4 linked regions of the Lepisosteus oculatus genome follow. The protein of the gene in region 4 interacts with the protein of the main gene of each other region in a pairwise test. Links are inferred from orthologs where the notes say so. Each region holds a gene or a part of one and is shown on either strand. Other genes may lie near its edges.

Evidence for each region.
Region 1: the proteins of dazap2 (region 4) and tax1bp1b interact in binary tests that used the Homo sapiens proteins (3 or more experiments, as listed by UniProt). The two-hybrid records come from large-scale screens. The link is inferred for Lepisosteus oculatus from reciprocal best matches to the Homo sapiens genes DAZAP2 and TAX1BP1.
Region 2: the proteins of dazap2 (region 4) and pogzb interact in binary tests that used the Homo sapiens proteins (3 or more experiments, as listed by UniProt). The two-hybrid records come from large-scale screens. The link is inferred for Lepisosteus oculatus from reciprocal best matches to the Homo sapiens genes DAZAP2 and POGZ.
Region 3: the proteins of dazap2 (region 4) and zc3h10 interact in binary tests that used the Homo sapiens proteins (3 or more experiments, as listed by UniProt). The two-hybrid records come from large-scale screens. The link is inferred for Lepisosteus oculatus from reciprocal best matches to the Homo sapiens genes DAZAP2 and ZC3H10.

The regions. Positions count from the first base shown.
Region 1 is NC_090705.1:398,535-405,434, forward strand, and holds the start of tax1bp1b (tax1-binding protein 1 homolog B), read right to left. Parts: upstream 3,022-6,900; 5' UTR 2,933-3,021; intron 1-2,932. Other genes in the region: hibadhb (3-hydroxyisobutyrate dehydrogenase b), read left to right, coding at 5,028-5,097.
Region 2 is NC_090722.1:3,868,468-3,876,314, reverse strand, and holds the start of pogzb (pogo transposable element with ZNF domain), read right to left. Parts: upstream 3,016-7,847; 5' UTR 2,796-3,015; coding exon of another isoform or gene 2,695-2,795; exon of another isoform or gene 2,692-2,694; intron 2,436-2,691; exon of another isoform or gene 2,365-2,435; intron 2,341-2,364; exon of another isoform or gene 2,037-2,340; intron 1-2,036. Other genes in the region: retinol dehydrogenase 13, read left to right, coding at 2,695-2,795, 5,326-5,444. UniProt on the Homo sapiens protein: Plays a role in mitotic cell cycle progression and is involved in kinetochore assembly and mitotic sister chromatid cohesion.
Region 3 is NC_090696.1:14,680,664-14,687,605, forward strand, and holds the start of zc3h10 (zinc finger CCCH domain-containing protein 10), read left to right. Parts: upstream 1-3,930; 5' UTR 3,931-4,117; intron 4,118-4,947; 5' UTR 4,948-5,151; coding exon 5,152-6,354; intron 6,355-6,504; coding exon 6,505-6,942. UniProt on the Homo sapiens protein: Specific regulator of miRNA biogenesis. Binds, via the C3H1-type zinc finger domains, to the binding motif 5'-GCAGCGC-3' on microRNA pri-MIR143 and negatively regulates the processing to mature microRNA.
Region 4 is NC_090696.1:16,039,650-16,047,019, reverse strand, and holds the start of dazap2 (DAZ-associated protein 2), read left to right. Parts: upstream 1-4,368; 5' UTR 4,369-4,552; coding exon 4,553-4,565; intron 4,566-7,370. UniProt on the Homo sapiens protein: In unstressed cells, promotes SIAH1-mediated polyubiquitination and degradation of the serine/threonine-protein kinase HIPK2, probably by acting as a loading factor that potentiates complex formation between HIPK2 and ubiquitin ligase SIAH1.

The sequences.
Region 1 (6,900 bases), on a different chromosome or scaffold from region 4:
AACCTGTCGGCTGCTGTGTCGAACCCACGAGGAAGGGCTCCTGTGTTCGGCTCTCATCCTTCAGATCCTGTTAACGCACACAGGAGGGGTGTGGACACACAGCACAGTCCAGCAAATGGGAAGCAGTGGAAATTACTTCACCATCTTTGCTACTAGTTACTAGTATTCTTTCACCTGTTACCATTGTACTCAAGGCTCTGAATATTCACAACCTCCATTTAATTCTTACCAAAAAAAATAAGGATATTTTATATTTTTTCAGATACCTCAGATACTAATGGTATGAGAAACAGATGGCAAGTACAATACAGCCGTGCAGATCTCTGCTAATTAGCTGTACAGTTCAGTGACATAAAGGAACTGTTCCATGTCAAAAGGAAAGACTGGATATGCAGGAAGAGCCTTTTTATTCTCAGACTTTCTTTCTTTAGATGAGAGTTAAAAGACCTCCTTACATAGTAAGCTAAATCAGTTTCATGATCACACCTAATTCAGTCAGAATCAATTTGATGGAATCAAGTCCTGTCACCGCTGTTAAATGTCCATGTGAATGGTCTTTCATGAGAGATTTCATGAGCAAAGAACTTTTTTTTAATCTTGCTTTTTAAAAGGGCTGACTAGATTTTCAAAGGAAGACATCTGTGTGACCTCGATCCTGAAGGTTATGTGTGTTCTGATCTAGTGCAATTTGATGACAGTTTATCTTTGTCATCAAAGCAGAGTCCTGCGTGCAGTTATGTTGTCTAGTTACAAAGCAGCTCAGAACAGAAATCTGACTCTCTCCTGATGTTCTTCATTGGTTAGTACTTATCTCTAGAGGCCAGTCGCATGAGTTTCATTTTTGTAAACTAGGTGTACTTTACCCATGTAGAACTACAGAACTCATTTCCCAAAGAATCTACTTTGTCATCTCCAAGCAATTAACAGTTTAGCATTCCATGAAAAACATCCCCATCTAACACAAAGCTTTCATGATCTATTTTGTAAAAAGAGCTCACAGATATTAGATATCAGAGCAGAATCCTTCACTGTCTAATTGTACCCTAAAATTAATAACAGAATTGATATACAAACTCATAAAAGGTAAGCCTTGCATTGTACCAAATGAGAATCATGTCATTTAAGAAATTTACTCATTCTGCAACCTGCAGTCACATTCATCCAGCAAGGTCTCACTTCCTCAATTAGGATAAAGCACAGAGCTGTCCTCAATGTTTAATCACGTGACAACTCATCACACTATCATATCACACAACTGCAGAACCTATCGTACACCAGTATCATTCCATGGACTGTACTTCGCAAAACAGAGTGATTATAAAATGAATTCAAAGAACCCATAAAGAGAAGTGGTGGTTTTGAAGACTCCCCTATCTGCTACACTGCAACTCAGATTTCCAACACAGACCATGACACAACAGTTTGTGGTGTGCTTGGAGATGAGATCGTTCAGAGTCGACAGGCTCCTAGCTGGGACTGGCAACAACTCGGTTGTCATTGGCCACGTTGGCACAAGTAGGGCCCGATTAAACAGCACAATTTCCATCCAGGATCAATTTAAAACAACTCAGCCAGAAACCGTAAAGGACTAGATCAGCTGTTTTCCCAGGAATCCTACCAGCACCGGGCAAAGGTGAACAATCACAAATATGAATCCGTCTGACAAGTCATTAAGTGCCGAGACGTCAGTGCTGGGAACATCAGAAACCAATTACAAAAAATAAAAATGCCTACATAAAACATCTTTGCCTACGTAAAGACTTTTAGTAACTACTAAAATAACCGTTTGGTTTTTTTATGTGCATGAAAGGCTTTAACGCTTAAGGTGCGATTCAAAACGAAAGATCAGTTGAAAAGCATCATCGTTCACAACGTCCACTATTAAACCACGTTCATTTTACAGTACAATGGCACGCAGACAGAAACGAGAGATTGGGGGGGTGAGGTGGGTTTCAAAGGTTTTGTGTAACCTTCGCCGACAGAGCTGCCGAAATTCCCCAGTCGTGCAGATCATGACAGTTCATCACCAACAGAATTTCCCAGACGCTCATGAGCAACACCAGCCTGACTCGCTCAGACTCGACGGACCCGCCCCCCGGACCCCCCTATTGGTCCGGGGCCACTGTTGACATTCCCGTTAGGTAAACACCACTGAAGGCTCTGGCCTGCGATTGGCCAGTGCAGCCGCCAACACAGCGTCGTCACGACCCGCAGACGCTCACGAGTTAATAATAATTATTATTATTAACTCGTTATTCGAGTTGTTGGGGTTTCGTACTTTTCGTTACTACCGAACATCAACAACAGCAGGGTCCCACAGCGACCGAGGCTGTTAAAGCAACGCACCCTGAAGAGATATTAAACATCTCACTAATCTAGGAGTCCAGTCTCCTCCTGAAAAAAGCTTGTTAACTGACACGCCAGCATGCTCGGATCGCTTATCGATGGATGTAAACAAAACAAAATTAAACTCAAAGGTCAAAACAAATATCGAAACCAAACGGTCCAAGGACAGACAACAACCGACTTTAGTTTCTTTTTCAATACAAGTGGTGGGCAGAAATAAAAAGTTTATTTCATGTTCCTAAGGGCCTTACGGCCGAATCCATAGTCCATAGTCCGATAGTTGAAACATTAATACTGACTTTCAACATTAAAATCCCTTCGCAACCCAAGCAGAACTACAATCAAAGTTTGAGCTCCAAAACGTTTGTCTTCAATTTCTTCCCCTTCTGCTTGTTATTTAAACACGGCTAAGCCTGTGGTTCGTCACTGCTGGACTGGGAATGATAACGTAACCCAAATCCCACACAATTTTTACATTGCCACGTAAAAGGACTAACACTAATAATCGTTACAGAACACAACTACATTAACGAATAACCACACAACAACCGTTCGCCATGTGAAATCGAAGTAAAACCCCAGTTACCTTGGTAAACCGTCACTGACGCAGCTCTACGGTCGCCGCTGCCCTTCTTCCTGGAAGAGGGGCGATGCGTCACTTCCGGGATCGGTGCCCTTGCCCACTGCGCAGGCGTAAAGTTATTGACTGTGCATCTGTGCCTTTATTTCAAAAGCACATAAGAGAGGTGACAAATGAGAGGAGGTCATTCACCCTCCAACCCCCTTATTTGCAAAAACTTGTTTGATCCAAAGACTTCGCCTGGCACCGTCTTCAGCAACACGGGTGGGTAGCACGTTCCACACTCCCACCACTCTAAAAACTTTAAATTTAAAGAAATTTAAAGCTAAGGATTTATTCTGTCCTGCTGTGAGAAACAGATCCTGGGTTTCTCTCATCATCCTGAATCCCAGATAATGAATCCTTCAATTTACCTCTATATTTCCTCAAATCTTCCAAAATATCCACGTAAAAACATAGGTTTTGACAATCCTACCCAGACTACGGAGAAAGAATATCTCTGCAGTACAGCAAATGTCTAATCACAATCTTAAAAAAAACTCAATAGAAACTGTATTTTAAAATCCTATAAAAACAATTTCATGCCATCATCACATCACTCAATAACTGTGGTGGCATGGAGACTTACAGAAACATTTTAATAAAGCTGTTTTACAAAAACTGTTTTCATTGCACATAGACAAAACCATTCATTTGCTCTTTATTAGTTAACAACAAAAGACACTGTCCACATGTCCTGTGCTAAATCTGGACTCATACTTAAGTATAAAGCACTACTGGTCTAATGTCACCTTGACCTTCAGAGGATGATGAATAAGGAATAAAGGCAGCGTCAGGCATCATACCCACACTTCATTATGATGGCCATGAGTGACAGGTGAGTGAAGAAGAGTACCTGGTCTAACCAATTTAGCTTTGGAGCAATGTGCAATAAACTGAATTAGACCAGTTCTGCAACATACTGGAAATTGTATCTGGGATGGTATGGACTGAGATGAGATGTACTGAGATCTCATTTATCTGAGATGATATTATAATAATAATACACTTATATAGTGCTTCTTCTGGACACTCCACTCAAAGCACTTTACAGGTAATGGGGACTCCCCTTCCCACGACAGCAACAGCAGCCATAGTGCACCAGAACACTCACCCACATCAGCTTTCAGTGGGGAGGAGAGCAGAGTAATGAAGCCAGTTCATAGATGGGGATTATTAGGGCCAATGGGTAAGGGGTAAGGGCCAATGGGAAATTTGGCCAGGACGCCAGGGTTACACCCCTACTCTTTTTGAGAAACGCCCTGGGATTTTTAATGACCACAGAGAGTCAGGACCTCAATTTTACATCTCATCAGAAGGACGGCACCTGTTTACAGTATAGTGTCCCCATCACTATATTGGGGCATTAGGACCCACATGGACCACAGGGTGAGCACTCCCAGCTGGCCCCACTAACACCTCTTCCAACAGCAACCTTAGTTTTTCCCAGGAGGTCTCCCATCCAGGTACTGACCAGGTTCACACCTGCTTAGTTTCAGTGGGTTGCTAGTTGTGAGCTGCAGGGTGATATGGCTGCTGGCTATTGTACTTGTATCCTGCAAGTCCCTGATAATAATATCCTGTTGCTGGGTTTCTTCAATGCCATGCAACCCCAATAATACAAGAACTCCGTATTCTGCCTGCAAAAAAAAAAACAGATATAAAAAAAATTGGTGTAAATCGCTGTACCAGCCAGAGACAGGACACAACAACTTTACAGTCCAAGTAAGACCTCTCTGAAAGGTAACCTCGTAAATTAATTTAATATTGGTGGAATTTTGGTATTATTTATTAAACCGCTTCTCTTTGAATCCATCTAATTGTCTTTTCTAAATTGGCTTCGAACCTGAATGTGTAAACTCTACAGACATGCAACTCCCGCAAAGACGCACGGCTCCAAAGATAAGCTATAGGATATCCCGCCCCTCCCGGGTTCTGGTTGGCTATAGTGGGCAACCCTGCCTCTGATTGGGCTGAAGGCGGTGTCACTCTCATCCACCCCCGTGGTCACTTCCTGACTCGAGCGTTGACACCGCGACGCTGAGGTCAAGGGGAAGGAAACATGGCCGCTTTGGTTAGAGGGTCTCGGAACTTGTTGCGAAGCTTTGGTCAGCATGTGGGCCTGGCACTGGGTAACGTATTGTTTACGTTTGCATATATTCAATTTTCGTCCTTCTCCGAGGCTATTGTGGGTCGGGGGAGGGGTGGGATCTGTAGCTTATGCATTGCAGCACCTTTAAGCTTAATGATATAGATAGTAACATCTGTTTCTGTCCGGTATCGCTTGGCAATCGCTGATGCGGATGTCAGTAGTAGTATCGATAAGCGGGATCGATGCTGGCATGCTATTCAGAGCCAAATACTCTCGCAAGGGAAGCATACAGCAAAAATACTTTTGCCTTGGTCCTTTAGTCCTTAACTAAAGGTCCTTGGTCCTTTAGTGAAGATGCTTTCGCAGGCTTGAGGTAAATTTAAATTAAAACATTTTAAGTGTATTTTGTTATAGTTTTGGAAAGCACCTGTTAAAAGCAGGTATGGGTTTATCTCTGAATGTTACAGGATGTTTTTTTCCCCCACTACCAGTTTGCTCTGTCTTGGAAGATATGGGATTTTCTGTACATTTTAGAATCCTGTTTTTACAAAACTCCCTGTCACTAGGAAAATGTTTTACTCTAAAGACAAGCTTACAACTTCACAAGCCAAAGTTAACACCTAAAGAAAAAGTTGGAATCAAAGTGTTTGATTCATTGTTTAAAATATCCTGTTTTAGTGTTATATTTGCTGTAATTGCACATGTAACTAAGATAAATATTATTCTCAGCTCTGTAATTTGTATCACTAGGATGATTCTGTTTTTAAAGAGTTAATTACTGTGCAAACAAACATGTTAGTGCTGTATATAAATCACTTCCTACAGTACATTTTAAGATTAGAGATCTTATTTGAAAAAGTATTTGCATCAAGAATAGTTTTAGATTGAGATCAATTTAGACTGCTTTATGATGTGGAAGGAATAAAGCATGTATACATGCACAGTATGTTAGGGAAAAGCATGAATACTTTGCCATGGTGCTCAGCAAAAGGACATTCCTTTACATACCAAGCCTATGATGATGTCATGGCTATGTGCCATCTGCATTTCTGCTGGGGTTTCTAGAAAAAAGGCAGCAAGTGATGTTGGGACCTGTTATAAGTACAAGGAGTGTCAGCAGCTGGCTTGCGTATCAGATGTTCAAGGTTAGGTCAATATGCACAACAGGCTGCAAATACAAGACAGCCCTTCTTGCCAGTTCAGAGAGTCTAGAATTTGTTCACTTGCTTCTTGAAGGAGAGCAGGGTTTCTGAATCACCTGAGCAGAAAGTCTGTTCTGTCCTCCCCTCCCCCGTCCGTGTGAAGAAACATTTCCTTTTCTAATTCCATCAACACCATTCATGTTTAAAAAGGAGTGAGTCCCAATAATATGCTTTTATGAAGAATACATTCAAGTCTTTATGCAAGCTCCTGTGTGCTTCAAATGGTTTAAAAATAGCATGAGGGCCAGGGGTATTTCTCCCTGAGTAAGCAGTTGATGGTGACATTAGAAATGCTCTTTTGACTTGGAGACAGCCCTCACAAGTTAAGAATGGCCGAGTATGAGCCTTAGACTGAGACAGAAAGGTGAAAGATGTTTATTTCAGACAGGTCCTAAAGAGTCTTGGGGGGTATCAGCTCTACATTCTCTGCAGGCCTATAGTTTAAGTGTAATTTGAAGTCAAAATGCATGTCATTTTATGTCTTTATTTCAGTGCTTTTTAATAATGCTATAAGGTACTGTGGAATTAATTATGTTGGTATCAAATAAGTTGTTCGTTGTGCACTAGTCTTCCACTCAGAACTGTAAAGAAGAGCCAGTGGGATTTTGTGCGATTATATTATTCATCGACATAATATTAAA
Region 2 (7,847 bases), on a different chromosome or scaffold from region 4:
ATCCCCACCCGTACGCGGATCTCGTAGGGATCCGACATAGAAGCAGCCGCCATTATCTCAGTGGGCTTCCAATAAGCGATCACGAGGCGCAGTGCCTTTGCAATTCCGCACGCGCTCTCTGTAAAAGATGAAGCGCGGTGCCTGGCAGTTTCAACCTCCCATCTGTCGAGCTACGAGGTTTGTTTTTTTAATTGAATACATAAAAAACTGAAGGGGGAGCTAAAGGGGTCTGATGTATGATGGGGACAATTGTCATCAATTATCTCAACCGCAGTCTCCTCCCTTATCTTCAAGGCTGCACTGCAGAAGCAAAATGCATTTAACAATACGAGCCGCGCACATAACCGTTTAAAATCACACCCACTCCATTGACTCATCACTGTGAAAACCTGTTTGGCAAAGAGATCCTTGCAGAGTGACTCTTTGTAGAAGGACTCGGATTATTCCACTTCTTCTATGGGGGGGGGGGGGGTTCTACGCCGGGAGATACCATTCAAGCAGAGTTCTAGAAACCTGCTCGAAAAGACCGGCTTGAGAGAACACACAAACGTACAAAATGTAACTCGCACCACAGTAATAATAATAATAATAATAATAATAATAATAATAATAACTTACACTTATATGGACACTCCACTCAAAGCGCTTTACAGGTAATGGGGACTCCCCTCCACCACCACCAATGTGCAGCCCCACCTGGATGATGTGACGGCAGCCATAGTGCGCCAGAACGCTCACCACACATCAGCTATCAGCTGTATAGCTTGTTCCACACTCCCATGAAGTCGCCACTGCTAAATGGTGTTCAGTTTTCCCGTAAGACGAAATCAGAATTGGTAAAGCTTATGATGAGTGTTGTTGATCAGCCACATTCACCCCTGTTGTTGCTGCTGCTGCTGTCGTTGAGTTGAGATATTCCTCAGCCCAGCCTGTCCGTGCTCCTCCGCCAGGTGACCATCCGGGCGTACGCCGTGCAGACCAAGGTGGCCGGTGCGCCCAAGAACGCCCCCGCGCTGCCGCCCCCGGCCCAGCCCCTGGAGGCGGAAAGCCTGCCCCCCAAGCCCGCCGACCCCCCCTCGGGGCTGAGCCCCGCGCAGAAACCCGCCGCCAAGAAGAAGACCGTCAGTAAGATGCTGGAGCTGCTGTCCAAGTTCCAGGAGCAGAGGTGCGGGGGGGTATCTTGGGGGTATGTTGTGGACAAGACAGGAGTGCAGCGTCCCCCAGTACACAGCCGACTCCTGTGGTCTCCAGCTCGGCTGAGGCATTGATCTTGGGTCAGGATTTACCACCACCACCCTGTAAACTGTCCTGGCGAACAGTCACGCCGTCCCTGAGCTGTGAGAGGTCGATCCTTGGAAACGTGCGGAAGACCGTATCCCTCCGGCCTACCAGTCCAGCCCAGGAGGAGGGGGGGACACGGCGCCCTTCTCTATGGGCTGGACCTCGCTGCCGGCGACGGCAGCCATAGTGCGCCAGAACGCTCACCACACATCAGCTATCAGTGGGGAGGAGAGCAGAGTAATGTAGCCAATTCATAGATGGGGATTATTAGGAGGCCATGATTGGTGAGGGCCAATGGGAAATTTGGCCAGGATGCCAGAGTTACACCCCTACTCTTTTCGAGAAACTCCCTGGCATTTTTAATGACCACAGAGAGTCAGGACCTCGGTTTTACGTCTCATCCGAAGGATGGCGCCTGTTTACAGTATAGTGTCCCCGTCACTATACTGGGGCATTAGGACCCACACAGACTGCAGGGTGAGCGCCCCCTGCTGGCCCCACTAAAAACTCTTCCAGCAGCAGCCTTAGTTTTTCCCAGGAGGTCTCCCATCTAGGTACTGACCAGGCTCACACCCGCTTAGCTTCAGTGGGTTACCAGTTGTGAGTTGCAGGGTGATATGGCTGCTGGCCTGTTTTATTTATAATATACCAACCAAATGAATTAATTGTCTTCGGACTTCTACAACCGAAGTGATGTAAAAGCAAATATTTCCCACCCTGGGGTGCACAATCCGGCAAAATGAAAAATCACATACATAACACTCCAGTTCTCCTCCCATCCTCGGGCTCGGAGCGAGTTTGGTTCTGAAATTGTGAGCCAAATAAAAAAAACCTGTACCGAACACCGTGCGTTATAAAAACGCCCGCCCGTTTCACTCTGTCACCGGTGACGTCAGAGTGACGTCGAGACCTCGCAGAAAGTTGACCTCACGACATGAAGGGCCGTTTACGTCATACGCGCAGCAGCCTATCAGAACGCAGCGTCCATCTTCACCCTGCACACTTGCACTGAGGGCTTTTTAAAAACAATAAACGAAACAATGACGTGATAAACCCGCAAGGCAAAAACTGTCCTGCACTCACAGCGCTGGTGCGAGTCACATTATACGCTACACATTGTAGTCCAATATCGCGCCGCATTTCCAGGCTTCTCCTGCACAGCGAGCAATTAAAGTAGCACCCAGCACGCAGGCGGCCAGCGGGGGCGGAGAGACCCAGCAGCTCCCTCCTCAGCCCGGACAGCCCGTCCAACATGGCCGACGCGTCGCCGCGCACACACGCCAGCCTGCCGTCTCCCCCGCGAAACCGGGGGCAGCCGCCTTTAAAGGAACCCCGGGTCCCCCCCCCCCTCTCCCAGACACGCACACGCCAGCGTGCCCGTGGGCTCCGGGGCTGGGGCGCTCGCCGGTCGGGATGGGGGGAGACGGGTCCCCCCGGCAGGACAATGAGCCGCGCGCTCCGACGCCACCAGAGGGAACAATACCCGCCACACAATCACAACAAACTCACCTCGCGTACGTCTGTCCTCCTTCCCCGGTGGGCGACGGAAAATTTAAAAAAAAAATGAAGGAAAAAAAAATTAAAATTCTGAGGAAGCTTCGGGGATTCGCCCACCCGGTGAAAACAAATAAGCCCGATCTGGGGGCAGGCAGGCAGGCGATTTTTTTTTTTCCTCACTCCTCTCTTTTTTTTTGTCGCTCGGCGCTGGTGAGGCCAACGTCACTTCCTCCCTGCCAGCCCGCGGCTCTTATTGGAGGAGAGCGCCGCGAAAGGGGCGGGGGCGGGGTGACGTCACCGAGGCCCTGCCGAATAAAATCCGCCCCGAGCAGAATCTCTCGAAGTAGTTCCTTTTATTGTGGCTCGCGCGGGTCTTTTTGTGTCCATTTTGGGGGAGGAATAAAATAATACATCACATAGTAAGGTGTAAACACTTCCCTCAATTGGACTGATATAAATTTTGAGAACCTACACTTTTAAAAGTCTCAATAAAAGCACCAATTTTGCTTTGGGGGGGCCCTATGCTTTCCACTAAGTGCGTCCATTTTGTGAGGTATTTTGAAAGAAATGATACATGATACACCATTTTAGTATGCGGCAAAACATGAGTCAAGAAAAAGAAACGCAATCAGATATTACATCTATCAAGATATCACATCTTGAATACTCAACGGGGAACACAGTGGAGGTCTTGATCCACCAAATAAAATTTCCCCCTTGGCCACACACATCACACTCCGCCCTATCCAGGCGATGAATATTTATTAAATAACCATACACGAATAATATAAAATCCACAGTATCACATATCATTTTTAATTGGGTGTAAAATACAGTAAATGTAGCCACAGAAAACAAGATGGCGGCCAAACTTGGCCAAGGTGATACTTCAGAAAGGTTTCCATTTAAGAAACGACGATTATTTCCCTTTACTAAAATCGCTCAACAATAAGTGGTAGGCCTTATGAAACAAGAAAGTCTATATAACAATAAAGTCTCACAAAATCCTGTTTCTAAGAAGAGAAATATTGAGTTATATTGCCAACGTAAACGACGGAGGAGCAACGATTTTGCACAGAACAATGGTTTGGCCGACAGGAACGGCTTCATCCACAAGCAAAATGCGCGAACTGCGTCAAACGGTGTCCTTTCTATTGCAGCAATACTTTCTAAACTGTAACGACAGTTTTGTTAATCAAATACGCCAGTGGTTCCTCCGAAATGTTAACATTTTTAGAGACAGGAGAGTACAAACAGATGTACCTTTGCAACAGCTGTGATCGTATGGGTCGAGTGTACGTTATTTCATCATTTATAGGACGTATTTTACTGCGTCGTCGGGGTGACAAAATAAACATTATGCTGCACACCTTCACGGGGAAATATTTAAACAGTGATTTTGAAAATCAATAAAACTGCTACGTAAAAACTGAAAGGAGAATAAGTCTACACACCAAAATGCGTTATCCAACGGCTCGCTGGCGCAGGACCACCCCAGTTGCCCCAAACCAACACGAGAGTATTTGGCATATTCTTGTCAGCGGGCATCCCAACGAAGGCCTTCAGGAAAAAAAAAACATTGTGGTAGTTATTTTGTTTTCATTTTAGATTCGATCTTTTTGTTTTTTTATTGAGTTGTGAAAGCTCAGCAGCTGTGGGAATTGAATTGTTTTAAAACAGGCGCGATTTTGTTTTAAAAAAATCATGTATGGAATGTAAACCCATGCTTTTATAGCACGTTAGCACAAACCGCCCATGTGAGTGTGCGGTCAGGCACTGTGTTAATGGGAGGATGGCGGTCTAAGCATCATTTCTGAGCCGCGAACAGCGGGACATCGCTCAGACGGGCTCGGCGGTTCTCATTCTTATCTGACCTACATACAACGCCGTAGTTCGCCCCGATACAACTCCTGCGATCGTGAAAAATGCGAGGTTTGCAGCGCTCAAATTAATTCTTCCAATTTTCCTTTCTGGGTTCAACACAGATTATTCCAGAATGTCTGGAGGATGTCCACGTGCGTCCAAGATCTGGGTTTAACGGTGAAAAAGATATGTCGCTGAACTAGAGAATAAATTACCTCTGTCATAACGTGTTAATTTTGGCATACCTGGCCGTGTTTTAAACCCTTTAAAATAAGAACTCTCGTTCTATTTTTTGAAATGGATTATTTGGGGCCTGCTTAGGTATTTATTTTTTGTGGCTGTTCTCTGCGCAAACACCCACATTCGAGACAAAACCCCCCTAAGAAGTGGCTCTGGCTGCCCCAGTCACCGCGCAGAGCAGAGCTGCACTGTTGGCAGTAATCGGTCTTAACAGAGGATTCAGAGAGCCGGGGCAAATAACGCAACGAGTGTTCCTGCGCTCGAATTAGTCATTAATCTACTATGGAAGCCTCTAATCAGGTCTGATTTAGCTCGCTTAGGACTATTCATAGCCGCGCTGCTCGGAGAGCTCAGAAACGGGTCGCGTTCTCAAGGCCGACGGAAACCCAGGGGGCAATTTCCTTCCACAGACCCCCTCTTTCTCCTTATCCCCCCTCACCCCAGCTGGTGCCAGGTACCCCGAGGGAGCGACGCCCCCTTCTTCTTGGGAGACATGTGGGACCAGGGGCAGTGGTTCAGTCTACTGACCAGGTGCGGGGCGGTGACCGTCGTGACTGCGATCAGTAAGTCCCCCGTCTGACCGGCTGCCGTTTACACGCAGGATGGCTCGTCTCGAACCTCGCGTCCCGGGGCGTAAATATCACAAGGATTTGGTTCTGGGGGGGATACGAAATCAACGTGATTTTCATTCGTTCTTTGATCAATAAATCATGAAGGAATACTGGTTTTACGCGCTAGAGGCAGCTGAAAAGGTCGGCTTTAGGGCACAGGCCTTTTAATTTGAAAAAAAAATCTTAGTGATGTACAGTAGCACACCATACTCTGGTAGTAACTTCTATTCTAAAATGGGTCATCCGAAAGTTTGTAGGCCGGCCCCGTTTTAAAGACTCGCTTGTGCGTGCCGTGTCCGTGCTCCTGTAGCGTTTCCAGTCGTCATCATCATATTTAGTCGTCATCTTCAAGTTTCACCTCCAGAAGAAAAGGCATCTGCAGGGCACAGTGCAAAGGTCACCTAATAGAGTTCAATAAATCCTGAACTAAGCCAACAGGTTGCCTGTTGAGAATCTTTGCCGCACTCTGTGGTACTGAAAGGATATTTCAAGATACTTGGAACACAGCCTAGATATATAGGAATTGAAAACAGTTAAAATGCAATTTAAGGGTACAAAATAATTCTGTTTTGGGGGTCTACTAAGGGTTAAATTATTTACATTACTCAAGCTAAATTATTTAACTTAAGGGGAACAGAAACCAGTAGGTTTGGGGGTCCCCTGGACCCCAGAACCGGTCCTGGAACACCTGATATAGGTGGATTCCCATTATACTTGGGAGTATGTGTGAATGCGTTGGGAGATACACACAAATATGTCCGTGAACTATTTTAAAAGGGTGTTTTATATAAAGGAGAAGCCCTGAGTCATTGTCTAAGGACCTGGCTCACCCGAGTGTTTCTATACCAGGTTTCTGAGGCATCAGTCTCTCCTAGACGGAATTCCAAAATAATAATTCCTAACGGACCAGTGCTTCTCAAGCAGGGTCTGGGAATTCCTGCCTTTTATTCCAGCAGGGTTCCTTCTTAATTACACGTGTTCGAGCCAGAATTGAACGCTTGGCTGTTCGGAGAAAAAACAGCTCCGGCCTCTGGACAGTAAGAGAGATTGAGACGTCATCTTCCACCCCTTGGCCAGGAGCTGGGATTCAGAATTCCTCTCGGCTGTGACAGTGGTTTCAAGGGGAAGTGTAATCAGTGGTGCTAGACAGTGTGAAATTCTATAATCCGAGTGCCTGTCACAGTGTCATTGCCGTCTGCGTGGATGTGTCGCTCACTGACGGACAATGAGGTGTTCAGAAATCTTATTGGATGTGACAGCGACTATTTTACACCCAGATGAAATAGAGATTGTGTTCGCAAAGCACCCTGGTAAAAATACACATAAAGGAGCTGGTTGTTGAGCAAGCAGGAGGAGTGGCAGAGAGTCTGGATTGCAAACTGATAGGTTTGGGACCAGTCCTTGGCAGATCTGTCTCTTTGAGAGAGGGACATCATTCAGATTGCTTCAGTAAAATGCCTGTGTAAATGGCTCCAACTGGAAGAAAAATACATTAACAGTGCTGATTACTTCCAAAGCTGAGACCTTAGTACAGTATGAAAACCAAACAGCCCGTGTGATTAAGGATTTCATAATCCCGGCCAATTAGCAGTAGATGTGGAACAAAATCCCAAAGACACAGAGATTGCAGCCAGGTCACTTGGTTAATACTCACACTCTTATGAACAGTTAATAATAATTAATAATTGCTTCCACTTACATAGCGCTTTTCTGGACACTCCACTCAAAGCGCTTTACAGGTCATGGGGATCCCCTCCACCACCACCAGTGTGCAGCCCCACCTGGATGATGCGCCAGTCCGCTCCCCACACACCAGCTCTCAGTGGGGAGGAGAGCAGAGTGATGAAGCCAGTTCAGAGACGCGGATTATTAGGAGGCCATGATTGGTAAGGGCCAATGGGAAATTTGGCCAGGACGCCGGGGATACACCCCTACTCTTTTCGAGAAACACCCTGGGATTTTTAATGACCGCAGAGGGTCAGTACCTCGGTTTTACGTCTCATCCGAAGGACGGTGCCTGTTTACAGTACAGTGTCCCCGTCACTATACTGGGGCATTAGGACCCACATGGACCGCAGGGTGAGCGCCCCCTGCTGGCCCCACTAAAAACTCTTCCAGCAGCAACCTTAGTTTTTCCCAGGAGTCTCCCATCCAGGTACTGACCAGGCTCACACCTGCTGAGCTTCAGTGGATTGCCAGTTGTGAGTTATTATTATTTAAACAATTTTATGTAGTTTAACATTGCCTTGTGTCTAAATCAACTGTAACATTAGCGTTTCTCTAAATTCTGAACACAACATTAAGGATAACAGGACCCTTAAGTGAACTCACGACCTGCTTATCTAGAGCTTTTCA
Region 3 (6,942 bases), about 1.4 Mb from region 4:
TTTCTGTCGAATACCGGTCTGTTGACGCATGTTTAGCAGTTGTGTTCGCGCAGTTCCGCAGCTGAAGGTCTGCGTGCTTTCTGGAGATCGGGGCAGCGGTGCTGTGCGCGTCTTAACAAGCCGCTGCAGTCCTGTCACTCGGGAAGAGGGGTCAGAGTCTGAGCCGCCTCGGAGTGCAGCGGCTTCGACTTTTGACAGCGGAACGATCCTGCCGATAGGTTAGCGCCATTTTAAAACTCCGGCCTGCGCGACCACACTGAGCCTCTAACAGGAAGATCCCCGAGCCGAGAGGCTGCCTTGGGGGCGTGAGCGGTCGCTCTGCTGCCGGAACGGCCTGGGCTGTTGGTGAGCCTCCGGCTGGGGGTGCTCATCGCTGTCCGGCCTGGCTCGGAGCGGGCGTGGGGCTGAAAGCGAGCGTGGTGTCCGTGTGACACTCGGCTCGGGCTCCGTGCGAGGCGCTGTCACCTGGAATACAAGCCCTTCAGGCGAGTTTCCGAGTGGGCCCGGCGTGCAGTTAGTCCCCTCTGCCTGCCCCGTGTGCGGGCTGATTCTCCGGCAGGGCTGGGGGGCTCGGCCTGACTGACGGTGTTTTTCTCTCTTTGCAGTGGAGGAAGAAGAGAATGCGCAGGTAAGCGGCCGAGCGGGCCGGTGGGGAGGAGGAGGAGTGGGGGAGCCGAGTCCACGCTGCAGCTCCTGGCTCAGGCTGCGGCGGCTGGAAGGGGGCAGTGCGGCCCGTAGCGCGCTGGGACTCCTAGCTGGGGCTGTACTGGCCCTGCTGGGTCTCTAAATTCTGCTGGGATGAATCGTGAGGAGTGGAGCCGAGATACAACTCTGTCCCACTAAAAAGGCGTAAAGCTCTTTAGCATCAAACATGGAAAAATGAACAAGTGCTTGATGGGCAGCAGTACATATGCATGTCTTTCTGCCCATATTGCACTACTCCTTTACAGTTACAGAGTGCTTTCCTGGACACTCCACTCAGAGCTCTTGATGGGTATTGGGCTCTCCTGCACCATCTAGATGAAGCAACGGCAGCCAGGCTGGTGGTCTGCTCCCCACACATCAGCTGTCAGTGGGCAGGAGAGCAGAGTGATGAAGCCAGTTCAGACATGGGGATTATTAAGAGGCTGTGATTGATAAAAGCCAGGGGAAAATGCTTGGGTAACACTCCTACCCTCTTCAAGAAACTGCGTGATTTAAAAAAAAAATGATTGCAGAGAGTTGGGACCTCAGTTTTACCTCATCCGAAGGACGGTGCTTTTTTATTACAGTATAGTTTGCCCATTGTTGTATGGGTCCTAATGCCCCAGTATAGACTGCATGGTGAGCACCCCCTACTGGTCCCACTATCACCACTTCCAGCAGGAATCTTAGCTTTCCCAGGAGGTCTCCCGTCCAGCTACTGGCCAGACTCGCACCTGCTGAGCTGCAGGGGGCTGCCAGCTGTGAGTTGCAGAGCAATATAGCTACTGGCTATTGCAGCAATGTACACTAATCTGATGGCAACTGTTCCCTGCATGAAGCTTAGCTGTGTTTAATATACTGGCTGCACGGGGAACAAAGGATTTATTGTACACATGTATTCTAAAATACCTCCCTGAAGTTGAAAAGTCAAAATGGGGATGGCGAGAGGGGTTGTAAACGATGGGCTGAGCTCTGCTTTGAACTGCTAAATAATACAGGTCTTTAAGCTGGTTCTGCTGACCAATTTCTCTAGCAGGCTCAATTAAAATTTTATCCCAGGGGGCAAAGTTGGCCTTATGGCACAGCCCAATAAAGCAAGGAAGGCGACGAGTTCCCTGGCAGTGGGGATGAGGGAGTTCCTGAGTGTTGGGACTGGGCTGCAGCATCAGCCTGGCACTCCTGTGCTAGTGCCCTGTGTGGCTAAGGTTTCTAAACCATCCAGGTGGAGCTGCACACTGGTGGTGGTGGAGGGGAGTCCCCATTACCTGTAAATTGCTTTGAGTGGAGTGTCCAGAAAAAGCGCTATATAAGTGTAAGCTATTATTATTGTTAAACCAGTGTTTATGGGGCAGGGGGTAGCAGGGCTGCTGGGTCACTTTTTACACTGGCAAATCGCTTAGCACTTCATCTGGTGGAGTTGGGTTTGATTTGGGGACCCTGGGCGTTTTATGCTCTTGTATAGGGATGGGGGGGTAACGGGTGGTTTTGGGGTACCAGAGCTGAACTCTTCCAAGTTACCAAGAAACTTGTAGAAACTGAGAAAATTGTATAAAGGATGAGGGTTCACTGTAATATTCTCAGCGGGAGGCCAGCTTGTCCTGGGTCAGAACTGTCGGCTCGGCTCCCGGTCAGTGTGCTGCTAACCGCTGCCCTCTTGTGGTCACAGGCTGAAGCGGAAGAGAAGAAAGATGAGGCAGAGGTCCAAGTAAACTGGCTTCTCTCCACTGCAACTGTGAGCCCTTCTGTCCCCGCTGCCTGTTCCCTGCGGACGGCAGGCAGGCCTGGAGTTGGAGCTGCTGCAGCTGGAGGACGTGCCTGTTGTTACACCCCTCATGTACCAGGCAATGCTGTGGGGGAGAGACGACCTGACCAGGAGGAGGAGGAGATGAACTGGCGCCTGAGCTCTCCTCTGGGAGGCACTGGACTCTTTGACACCAGCCCAGCACAGTTGCTTTGTATAAAACCTTCAATAAATTCTTTTGGTATTAAAAACCATCTTGATGAGTGTTCCCTTTATTTTTTACGGAGTAACTCCCTGGTGCTCTTGTGGCCTGCACCAGGGGGTTGGGGATGGGCAGCTCTAGGCCTCAGGTGCTTGTTAGAAAGGGGTCTGTGATCCTTGAATTCAGTCTCTCACTCGCTCCACTCCAAGCCACCTGTAGGGCCCCAGCCTTCCAGGACTGGAGCAGCGGGTCTGTGTAAAGAGAAGCTTGTGCAGGCAGGTGGGGTGTAGTTCTGATGTGCCTGGCTTACTGCTGACTGGCTGGGCTGCCAGCACCTGAGTGGCTGCATTTAAGCCTTGATTTTGAGTGAGTGTTTTAAGACCGGTAGACCACTGTGCCCGGTCTGTATGGATTGCTTAGCGTGACTGCTGTCAGATTTTGGATCCGTGCTGCTAACCTGTTCAGGAAGGATGGGGCTGATGTTTGTATTGCAGTCTAAGCAGAGCAGCCCAGGGACAGGTGTGCCCCCTGCAGGAGGGGTAGTTGATGCCCCTTGTCTATTGCAATGCTACTTTTCCCAGTAGAATCACACTTACCATTAACAGGAGAGGATGCAACACGGAGACCATTTGACCTGGCTGTGTTATTAATTGAGCAGAGAATCTCAGCCAGCTCTTCCCTGAAAGAAATTAGGGTCTTAACACACCTGTGAGCCTTGTTCAACACTCCCACACCCCTTTGTATAAAGGTGTGTTTGGATTTTCAAATGCACTAAAAATACTGAATTTGTGCATTGTTTAAAGCAGGGTGGTCACTACATGGTAGTGCTGCCATTACAAAATGACCCAAAATCCTCCTTTTGGATCGTGATGGGCATTAACATCCCTATGCCTGAGCTCTTACCCCAGTGCTGCAGGGGTGAAATATAAGCTGCTCTTTCAGCTCCTGGGTTTCTTCTCACTTTTGTATTAATGCTTACTTCCAGAGCCCAAGTACAGTATTTTTAAGTCTATGGCCCCAGGAGTTTCTAATTAATAAGTATTTAATTAGAAATTGTTTAGAACCATAACTGTTAATTATGTAGTGTTTGACACATATTTGATACTGTTTACGTCTGCCTACAGTCAGTGGCGGAATCCATCCTCTTTGAATTTTGCGTCAATCCAAAACAATGTTAAACCTTCTTCACAGTGAGTTTAGGCAGTGTCGCAGAATGCCGACAGGAGGCGCTCTTGGGTCTCTCCTCCACCTCTTTGAAGTTAGCGCTTCCCGAGGTGAGTCGCTCTTGGTTGGGAACGGCGAGTCGTCGGTCTTGGAGGACCAGTGCGGAGTGTGCCTGGGTGCTGTTGTTCGTGTTCTTTGAAATATTTTAGTTATAAAATAAAAATATAAATGCTTTTTCATAAAACGTGCATAATAAATATCCCGAGAGAACCACGACATATAAAAGAGCACAAACTTCCTTTCCCGGTGCTGCAACGTTGTTCAAGGTAAGGCGTTGCAATTTGCTGTTGAGTGTAGGCCGTGGTGTGACGTGTTGAGACTATTAATAGTATTGTCGATATCGTTCATTTTAGTGAGGTTTTTTGTTGTCGTGCAGAAATTCTAAAGTGCATAGTAGCAATACTTAGCGGGAGCAGCATAAATAATGTTCCATTATAGGGCAAGGAGCTGCTGAATTCTCCAGTCCAGCCCCGTTTGGAGTGTCTCAGTCTGCACTGCCGGTGTCAATGGGAGTCTCGAGTATAATGCCAGGAAATAACTAATCCAGATCTCAGTGAAATCAGTGCTAATCACTGTGTCACAGTCTGAGCCGCTCCAGGCTGTGCTGGACTGACTTGTCTGTTGTCTTGATTAGTTATTCCCTGAGATCAGATTCCCAGAGATACAGACAGTAGGGTCTGAGCTGCTCCAGGCTGTACTGGACTAAGTTGACTGTCCTCTTGATTAGTTATTACCTGAGATCAGAACCACATTCCCAGAGATACAGACAGTAGAGTCTGTACTGTACTACAGGCTGTACTGGGCTGACTTGCCTGTCCTCTTGATTAGTTATTACCTGAGATCAGAACCACATTCCCAGAGATACAGACAGTAGAGTCTGTACTGTACTACAGGCTGTACTGGACTGACTTGCCCGTCCTCTTGATTAGTTATTACCTGAGATCAAGAGTATCAGACAGTAGAGTCTGAGACACTCTTGGGTCTCCTGCTGTTTCACATTAATCACCTTGTTGACGTTGTATTGCAGCGCCATTGTAATGGATGACGCAGTGGACCAGAGTCTCGCTCTCCAACATTGTTTGATTGTCTGTTGCAGATGTCTCCACGGAGGACATCGCTGAGCTGAGGAGCCCAGGGAACGCGGCGCCCACTCGGACACGCAGAGAGAGAGAGAGCCGCACGCGGACTCCACGGCACGCGCACAGACAGGCGTCCGCGCGAACATTGCCACACAGAGCCAGGCCCGTGCGCGCGATCACCCACATGCGTGCCGCGTCTCCCTTTTCCTGGGCACGGCGCCATGCCTGACCGGGATAGCGCGTACCTGTCAGGCGGGGGGGGGGGCGCGGGCGGCGGCTCGGGCAGCGAGGAAGGGGGCAGTGGGGGAGGGGGCGCGGGGGGGGCGGCAGGAGGGGGAGCCGGGGCGGGGGGAGGGTCTGGGCCGGCAGGGGTGGGGTCCGTGGGGGGCGGGGCCGGGGGCGGGTTAGGGGGCGGGGGGATGGGCGGGGGGAGCGCGCTGGGCAACGGCAGCACCTGCGGCAGCGGGGGGCCCGGCGGGGGCCTGGGGGCGGGGCCCGGCTTGGACGACGTCTGCCGGGACTTCCTGCGCAACGTGTGCAAGAGGGGGAAGCGCTGCCGGTTCCGGCACCCCGACTTCAGCGAGGTGCCGGACCTGGGGGTGCAGAAGAACGAGTTCATCTTCTGCCACGACCATCAGAACAAGGAGTGCGTGCGCCCCAACTGCCGCTTCGTGCACGGCTCCAAGGAGGACGAGGACTACTACAAGAAGACCGGGGAGCTGCCCCTCAGGCTGCGGGGCAAGGTGGCCGCGGGGCTGGGGCTCTCGCCCACCGACCTGCCGCTGAGCCGCGGCGAGGTGCCCATCTGCCGGGACTTCCTGAAGGGCGAGTGCCAGCGCGGCAGCAAGTGCAAGTTCAGGCACGTCAAGAAGGACTACGAGTACGAGGCGGCCCGCGGCGGCGCCGGGGGGCTGGGGGTGGGCGGGATGGGGATGGGGATGGGGATCGGGGGTGGCGGGCTGGTCGGGGGGGCGGGGGGGGCCGGCGGGGGGATCTCGGGGCTTGTGGGCGGGGGAGGGGGCGGCGGCGGGGGGGGCCTGCTGAGTGTTGGGGGCGGGCTCAGTCTGGGGGGCTCGAGGGACCCCGGAATGCCGGGGGTGGGGGGCGGCGGGGCAGGACTGTCGTTGGGAGCCCCTGGGCCCCGCAGGTTCGACCGCGGCCCCTGCTCGCTGTACGACCCCCTGTTCGAGGGGGGGCTCTTCGACCCCGGGCCCCTGGAGGACCCCGTGGACGCCGCGGTGCAGCTGAAGAGACGCAGGCTGGAGGGGCTGAGGCTGGCCGAAGGGGGTGGCGGTGGGTGTGCCGGGGGCCACTATGAGCTCGGGGTGCAGGCAGCCCCCCCGCCTCCCAGGCCCCTGGAGTACAGACTGCTGGAGGAGGAGAACGCGCTCCTGAGGAAGAGAGTGGAGGAGCTGAAGAAGCAGGTGAGAGAAGGGGGAGACTCACGGCTCGGGCCGAAAAGAAAGGGTGAGAGGGATCAGAAAAAGGAGGGACACGGAGGCAGCGAACACCCCCTCGAATTAACGTTTCCTCCGCTGACTCCTCGTCCGTCTTCCCCCCTCCCTCTCTCGCAGGTGTCGAACCTGATTGCCACCAATGAGGTGCTGCTGGAGCAGAACGCCCAGTTCCGCAGCCAGGCCAAGGTCATGACCCTGTCCTCTACGCCGGCGCCCTCAGAGCAGAACCTGGCGCCCCCCGTGGGCTCGGTGAGCTCCTACAACCACAGCATCGCGCAGACGCACACCACCCTGAGCAGCGCCGCCCTGCAGCCGCGCCCCGTGAGCCAGCAGGACCTGGTGGCCCCCGCCGCGGCGCCCCCAGCTCCCCCGAGCAATGCGGCCCCTCCCTCCGCGCCCCCGCCGCACCTCAACCCGGAGATCACCCCTCTCTCCGCCGCCCTGGCCCAGACCATCGCGCAGGGCATGGCGCCTCCTGTCTCCATGGCGCCCGTTGCGGTCTCCGTGGCGCCCGTGGCAGTTTCCATGGCGCAGCCCCTCCCTGGCATCACCATG
Region 4 (7,370 bases):
AAAACATTAGGGGCAGCACTCCAGGGCAAGAGATCCTCAAAAAGCCTGATCAAAGCATTTCTGTTGAAGAAGGCACAACTGATTATTGAGAGTGGAGCTTGGATTGGACCTGTCTGTTTTGCCCGAGTTCTCTGACTCTCCCTCTTTTCAAGTCTTACAATATAGCAGTCACATTAATAGTTCTTGTGTAGCGTAGGAAGAGTAGTGTTGTTATAAGACACGTTATGCTAAACTGAACACACCTGAGTAGTTTTATAAGGGACAGGGTGGACAATGTTCCTAGGCACGATGCAAGGCCAGGCTGAAAGAGCTGACATGGATTAGGAGAGACAGGTGAGTCTCAATAGTTATGTGGCTGTTTAGTTCAAGTGACCTCTGGTAAACCAGCCCTGTACAAGACTGGGCACAATCTCCCATCACACACCACAGCAAGCCCAGCTTCACTCCTGGCCAGTATAGATAGATAAGACTTCATTGATCCCGAAGGGAAATTGATGTGTTACAGCAGTCCAGCCCAAGACAAGCAGAAAACAAACAGACATCAGAATAGATGAAAAATTAGAATACGTACAGTAATACAAAATAAATATAAAAATAAATAAATACATAGGTGTGTGCAAAATATGATCATAGTCACTGTAAAAACAATAAAATATGTGAAATATGTGCATAGGTACTGTATATAGAGATTGAGTGTCCAAAAAAGTACAATGGAGCAACACGCTGTCCATAGACGAGCCCTAGTATCAGACTCGGGCCAGAGCCTTGCACCAGTAAATCCAGGTAAGGGCTTGCGGCTACAGCCTAAAGGTTAAAGGTCATTTCCCCCATTAGAGGAAGCATGTTGCTTTACTCCCCTGCTGTATCTGTGGAGCTGTGGTCAGGGTTCTAGACTGGTAACTGGAAGCTTGTGGGTTAAAATCCTAGGGAAAACAATGTTGTTGTTGTTGTTGTAGACCTGGGCAATTTGAAATGCTCCAGTTAATCACCCAGCTGTATAAATGAGAGCAAATGTTTAGTCGCTTCGGATAAAAGCATCTGGCACATAAACTAGTCGCTGGAAGGCCATCTCTTCAGGCAGCCTCTGAGCTGCTGCTGTTACTGCAGGAGGCCTGTGCAGAGTCCTGTCTCTGGTCAGGTGGGAGAGGGTAGACAGGTGTGCTCCCCTCTCTCCATGAAGCAGGGGGGGGTAGACAGGGGAGTGTTCTGCGCACCTGGCTGAGCTCCCTCCTGCCAGCTCAGGTGAACCTCTCCTCCACGCCTGCACCTCCAGGGACACGCAGCTAGGCAGCGCTCGCCGAACTTCGCCCGGCTCCTCCCTCTACTCGAACACGCTCTCCGCAACAGCCAGGTGAAGCTCAACTACTGCATCCTGAATCCAGGAGAAGACACCTCTGGACATCCTTTAAGAACTCAACCTGAGATGGTCACAAAATCCATCAGGGAGGTTTCTTTGCACAGACCCTGGAAATGTAGTTATGTATTTAGATTGCTCTGGTCATGAATATTTAACTGCTTTCCTGCCAGTTGGCAACCCGTCTCATCTGAATGCATTAGCATACCATTACCACGGCACTGAAAGGGGAGAGCTGGGATTGCGGAATGCTGCTGAATCCCTAATTAGCCCAGATCCGAGCGTCGATTTCCACTCGACTGCGTTGTTTCATTACAGATTTCCTTTAGCCCTGCAGCCAAGTGCATCTCTACCCCCCACCACCTCCACTACCGCCGCTACTCAGCCCCCCCCCCACTCCCATAACCCCCGGCCACCTCTCCACCACCCAGACCTCCCGACTTCCTCATTAACGGATCCCAAGTGTCCAACTCTCACTCTCCCAGTATGCACCCATAGGAGCCGGCCTTGCTTCTGCGAGAGGGGGTTTAATAATAATAATAATAATAATAATAATAATAATAATAATTGCTTACACTTATATAGCGCTTTTCTGGACACTCCACTCAAAGCACTTTACAGGTGATGGGGGCTCCCCTCCACCATCACCAGTGTGCAGCCCCACCTGGATGATGCGACAGCAGCCATAGTGCGCCAGAACGCTCACCACACATCAGATATCAGTGGGGAGGAGAGCAGAGTAATGAAGCCAATTCATAGTTTAATGAGAGGCATCAACGCAGCTCCACTTCAGACACCGGGCCAAGGCTTTGTGGCTGGCAGCGCCTACCTCCCAGTTAACTCTTCACCCGCTCAGCACCCGACAGACGCAGAGGTGACCTTTCTCTCCAATCGAAACCTTCTCCTCGAAAACCTTGAGCGCCCCCTCCCTGTACCTACCGTGAGCCGAAGGGCTACTTCTGATCTCGCCTCTGGCGTACCGCACAGAAAACAAGGAGGCACGCCTTTACACAAAGGGTGGCGGGTGTCTGGAACAAGCTAGCGAGCCGCGGCACTAAAGCATTCCCCTCAGATCTTTCAGGAATGCGCCGGGTGAGTTCCTCACTCCAGGATGCCACAATCAACGAAACAAGATGGGCCAAAGAGCTGGATTTCATTTGCAAATACCCGTGTCCTTAATTGTGCTTAATTGTGTAAAAGCCTTCAGAGATGACCTGACAGAAGATAAGGGTCACACACTCTGTGAAGGCGAGTTCATCCCCAGAAATGACGCCTTCGCAGAGTTCCTTGGAAACGGGATCGGTGTCTGTCCTGGGTCACCGGTGTTTCTGCCTGAACCGTTTTCACAGGGTCATAGTCAGCTTGTGTGTACAGTAAATTCACACTCGAGCAGAGCTCTACATTGGAGGTGTTGTGTTAAAGCAGGGAGACACACTATCTCCACAAACATCAAAGTCCCGCTTAGGGCTGCTGTTACTGCTCCCTTCCACTTTCCGTGATCCACGACAGGCCGTGATCCGTCTGTGGACGGAGCTCAGCTCAGTGAAAATAAAAACAGGTTCTCCCCTGCCCTGTTTCCGGCAGGCCGAAGAACGACAGAAACGCCACAGCCCAGGCAAGCCTGAGCTGCGAAGCACTGCGAAGGCAGTACAAGGGAACACCTGAGGCTCAGACATCAATCGTCCAGCCGCTTCACACGTAGTGTGAGCATCTCCAACTGCCCCGATTTCCTGACGACAACGGCAGAACAAATACTTTTACAGTAATGCACACGTAGAAATCCGATGCCGCGCGAGGAAGCGGCTCAAGAACGGAACTTCTTCCAGAAGCTTTAGGAGATCAAGGCCTGTGGATTTCTCTCATGACATGCCTGAGGCCGCAGACCAAGCTGCGATCCGCCCTTGGTGTCCTGTAGTAAATCTGAGCGCACGCAGAAGGATGGGATCAGGTTTCGACACTCTCTGAGATGGCTCCGCGCTCCGGGCGAGTTACAGAACTGGTCGGGCCCTCCGGACTGCGGAGAGCGCTGAGCTCTCCCTCTGCAGGCGGCCGGCGCTGTGCCCTTGCGAGCTCGGAGCCCGCGGGCTTGACAGAAGAAGATTAAGCAACCCAGGTAGAGGGACTGGAATAAACCGCAATCGCACCCTCTGCCGGCCGCACCCCACTCGCCCCGGCCGAAGTCAGCCGTCAGACTTGGCGCAGGCGAAGTCCCTACAGGTGGCGGTAGTGTTGAAGGGTTTAGCGACCGGAGCACCGGTAATATCACACAACACAGTGCAAGTCTGCTCCGCCTGCCACGGTCTGGTTCGGCGACCCCTTCCACGGGGCGAAAACCGACTTCGTCCAGCGATGAGAATTCAAAGCGCGTAAACTGCAAGTCCGTCAGTTGTGTCGACAACACGTGTAACGATTTCATTGTTCTTAAATGACTGAAGAATAAATACCACACGTCAACTATTTATAAATAACTTTACGAAGGTCATTTATAAATGATTAACTTGAGACATAAGGCGACGTTAATTTAAGCTAATTTAACGTTCATTTAAGAAATAAATTGATGGAATATCAGAGTCTAAGCAAATCCGTGCCGCTTGTCTTTAAATGACAAATTATGCATGCATAATAAACTACGATGAACCACGGTTTTGTGTGGTGATAAAAGATGAAGGACATTTCAACGGGAAGCTGATCGAAATCTCTCCGCTGTCAAACACTGAAGTTACCATCTAATATATTAGAATGCAAGAAAGTTTTAAAACGAGAAGAGACCAACCGGTCCATCTAGTTCGTTTGGAAGTTAATTAAGTGAACTCATCCAGGTATTAGCTACAGCTTTTGGGCTGTACTACTCTTTTTCTGTAAAAAAGAAATGCACGTTGCACAGGAGAAGGGGAGACGACAAGTTACGTCTTTTTGCACAGGTTACAGTCTTTCAACTAACGGCCTGGTTTCGCTTGACAGGACTCCTGAGTGGCTGTGGGCGCGCCTCCCCCAACAGGGAGTGGCGGTGACGCGCAGCACCGCGGCTCCGCGCATAGATCAGGCAAGCGTCGCAAACAAGGAAGTGAAACAGTACAGGAAAAACTTTGCACGGAGACCTCAGTGTTTTGTTGTTATCGCGGAAAAAAAAGGCCCGAAACCTAGCTCCGCGTCTTTCTCTCCCTCTGATTCGAGTAACCCGCACAGGAATTCAGGACGATGAACAGTAAAGGTAAGCCGTCTTAGGCACCCGGTCGTTTTCGATCCAGGCTCGGTCGCCTCGGAGACGACTTGGGTTAAAGGGTTTTGTTTTTGTTGTTGTTTTTAACTGTTATTTGAACAATTCACGTCCCTGGTCGTGCATCTCGTAAGGACGTTCTTGAACAATCGGCGGACACGGTACCGCGGGGGTCGGCTGACGGTCCAAGAACGTGGATTCGGGTTCTGGGCCGCCGAACCGAGTAAAAGCACAACAAGGCCCGTCTGGTGTCAGTGTGCAAACCTGGGCAGAGCAGCTGCGTAGCTTATGCTGCAGGATCACGGCGGCGGAGGTAAAAGCGTCAACAGCAAGCGCTGTGGGGCTGTCCTTGTGTAACCTCGATGGTATAATAATCATTTGCTGCAAATCCGGAACCTTCTGGAGACAAAAAATGCCGTTCGCGTCTTATGCGTTACGGATTGGCGACATTGTTTTATGCGCCAGGAGAGGGGATGTCAGGCTGTGTACGTGTTTCGCCGAGCTTCGTTATTTACTCTAAAATGGACACTGCCTTGTCTACAGAGCACCACCGAAAGCAGTGATAAAAGAACGCGAAATTCCGCGATCCGCCGATCCACCTAAATCTATTTCAGCCCGTTTAAATTAACGTACCTTATAATGTCGAGGCTTGTATAACACTATCGTATTCATTCCCACGGGACTTGTATCTTAGACATTTTACTGAATATCGTCTTGCTGGGGTTGGGGTAGAGGCCTGGTTTCTTGAATATCCTTGAATATTAACCTTGCAACTCGCTGCTGGCATCATTTTAACAATGAACCGGGGAAACTCGGTATTAAATGACGAAGTGAATTCGTATTTAGGATCTTAAAACAAACACTCCGGGAGACAGATTAAGTTTTAATTTGGTTTTGTCGATTAAGATGAAGAAAGTCATTTTTCGTGTATAATGTATTTTTTAAAAATAAAAAGGCGCACCTCCACCGGTGCAGAATTCATCCTAGAGAATAGAGAATATCCTAGAGAATATACGAGTTTTCTTTTAAAAATAAACGTAGGTTTCGCATTGTGGTTCAGAAAGGGTTTTCATTTCATTTATGCTCATAAAGAAAGAAAGGCTGGGGGAATTATGGTGAGGGATAAGAACTACATCGTTAGCCAGTGGTGATCCGGTCCCGAGTCTGAGTAAACGTCATACAAGCTGTGTAACATCTCAGACCAGATCAGCTGCCAAAGCTACAGTGTGTATTAACGTGGCATTGTTGTTAACAGCAGCTGGTAAGACGGTTTCAAAGCCCTACAAAATGGAATGCAGGGACTCTGCAAGTAAAAAAGGGCGAGTAGTTGGCTTGGAAATACCTGCACCCCCAACCCCCACCCCTTTTTTCTGATGGGATGGTCTTTGGTTGAGCTTGGGAAGGAGGTGATGATGCGTGAGATGGAACTGACCCACTGGTTCTGGTTGGGATTGGGATCTTTGAGTCGTTCGGGTCAGGAATGGTGATGGTTGGGTCTCCTGCTCCCTCAGACCGGCCACACACTATGCAGCCCAGTGGTCAGGATCCTGGACTCGTAACTGGGAGGTTGTGGGTTCGAATCCCAGGGGAGACACTGCTGTTTTAATAATAATTGCTTACACTTATATGGTGCTTTTCTGGACACTCCACTCAAAGCGCTTTACAGGTAATGGGGACTCCTCTCTACCACCACCAATGTGTAGCATACACCTGGATGATGTGACGGCAGCCATAGTGCGCCAGAACGCTCCCCACACATCAGCTATCAGTGGGGAGGAGAGCAGAGTAATGAAGCCAGTTCATAGATGGGGATTATTAGGAGGCCATGATTGGTAAGGGCCGATGGGAAATGTGGCCAGGACGCCAGGGTTACACCCCTTTACCCTTGAGAAAGGTCCTTCACCTGCATTGGTCCAGTATAATCACCCAGCTGTACAAATGGGTGCAAATGTGAATCACCGCATGAATTGGTAAATAATTAGTTTGAATGCAAACCATCTAGACCGGCAGTGTTCTGAGTGTTCTGACCTCAGAGTGTTTCGCTGTCCCTGGAGCTGTGCAGGCTTGCTTACCGGGTGAGAATACTGGCCCAGAGCACCAGTGACATCTCTTTTGTGCAGAGCTAAAACTCTACAGACTTCCTGAGATCACAGTGCTGCTTCTCCCTGGTGGGTCCACTATTGGTAAAAGATTCCAAGGTCATGAACCTTTTGAAAACCTGAGTATATGTAATATTTTGAAATGCATCAAAATATTTATTGCTGTGCAGTAAGTTGAAATTGAAAATCGTCCCCTTTATACGTTAACTATGAAAGCACTGCCCTTTCCTGCTGATATCTACTGCATGTGCTAAGATGATGTCCTTATCCAGGGTGACTTACTAGTCCGATTTATAGACTTAGATTGCTGCTATCCAGCCTATTTTTAAAATCTATACACCCCATATTTGCATAGAACTTAATTTTCTGACCACGCAGAGACAACCACATTGTGTCAGCAGATGTGGTGTAGTTCTGTCTTCAGAAAGACAATGCACATATATATTTTAGAGTACTTTCCAAAGATACCATCCAGGGCTGAATTGTCTTTCCTGCAATCAAAACCCTTTAAACCAGAGATTTTTATGATTTATTTGGCTACCGATAGGTCTTTAATTTGTGTGTTCACAGCTTGACTAAAACGTCTGCTTTGTGGTGTAAGAGAATCCAAACAAAAAGAATCCGCAGTAGTTCTGCAATAAATCTGATCTCAACTGGCACAGAAATTCGAAAGGTGTCCTTTCAGTTAATTGAGGTTGGG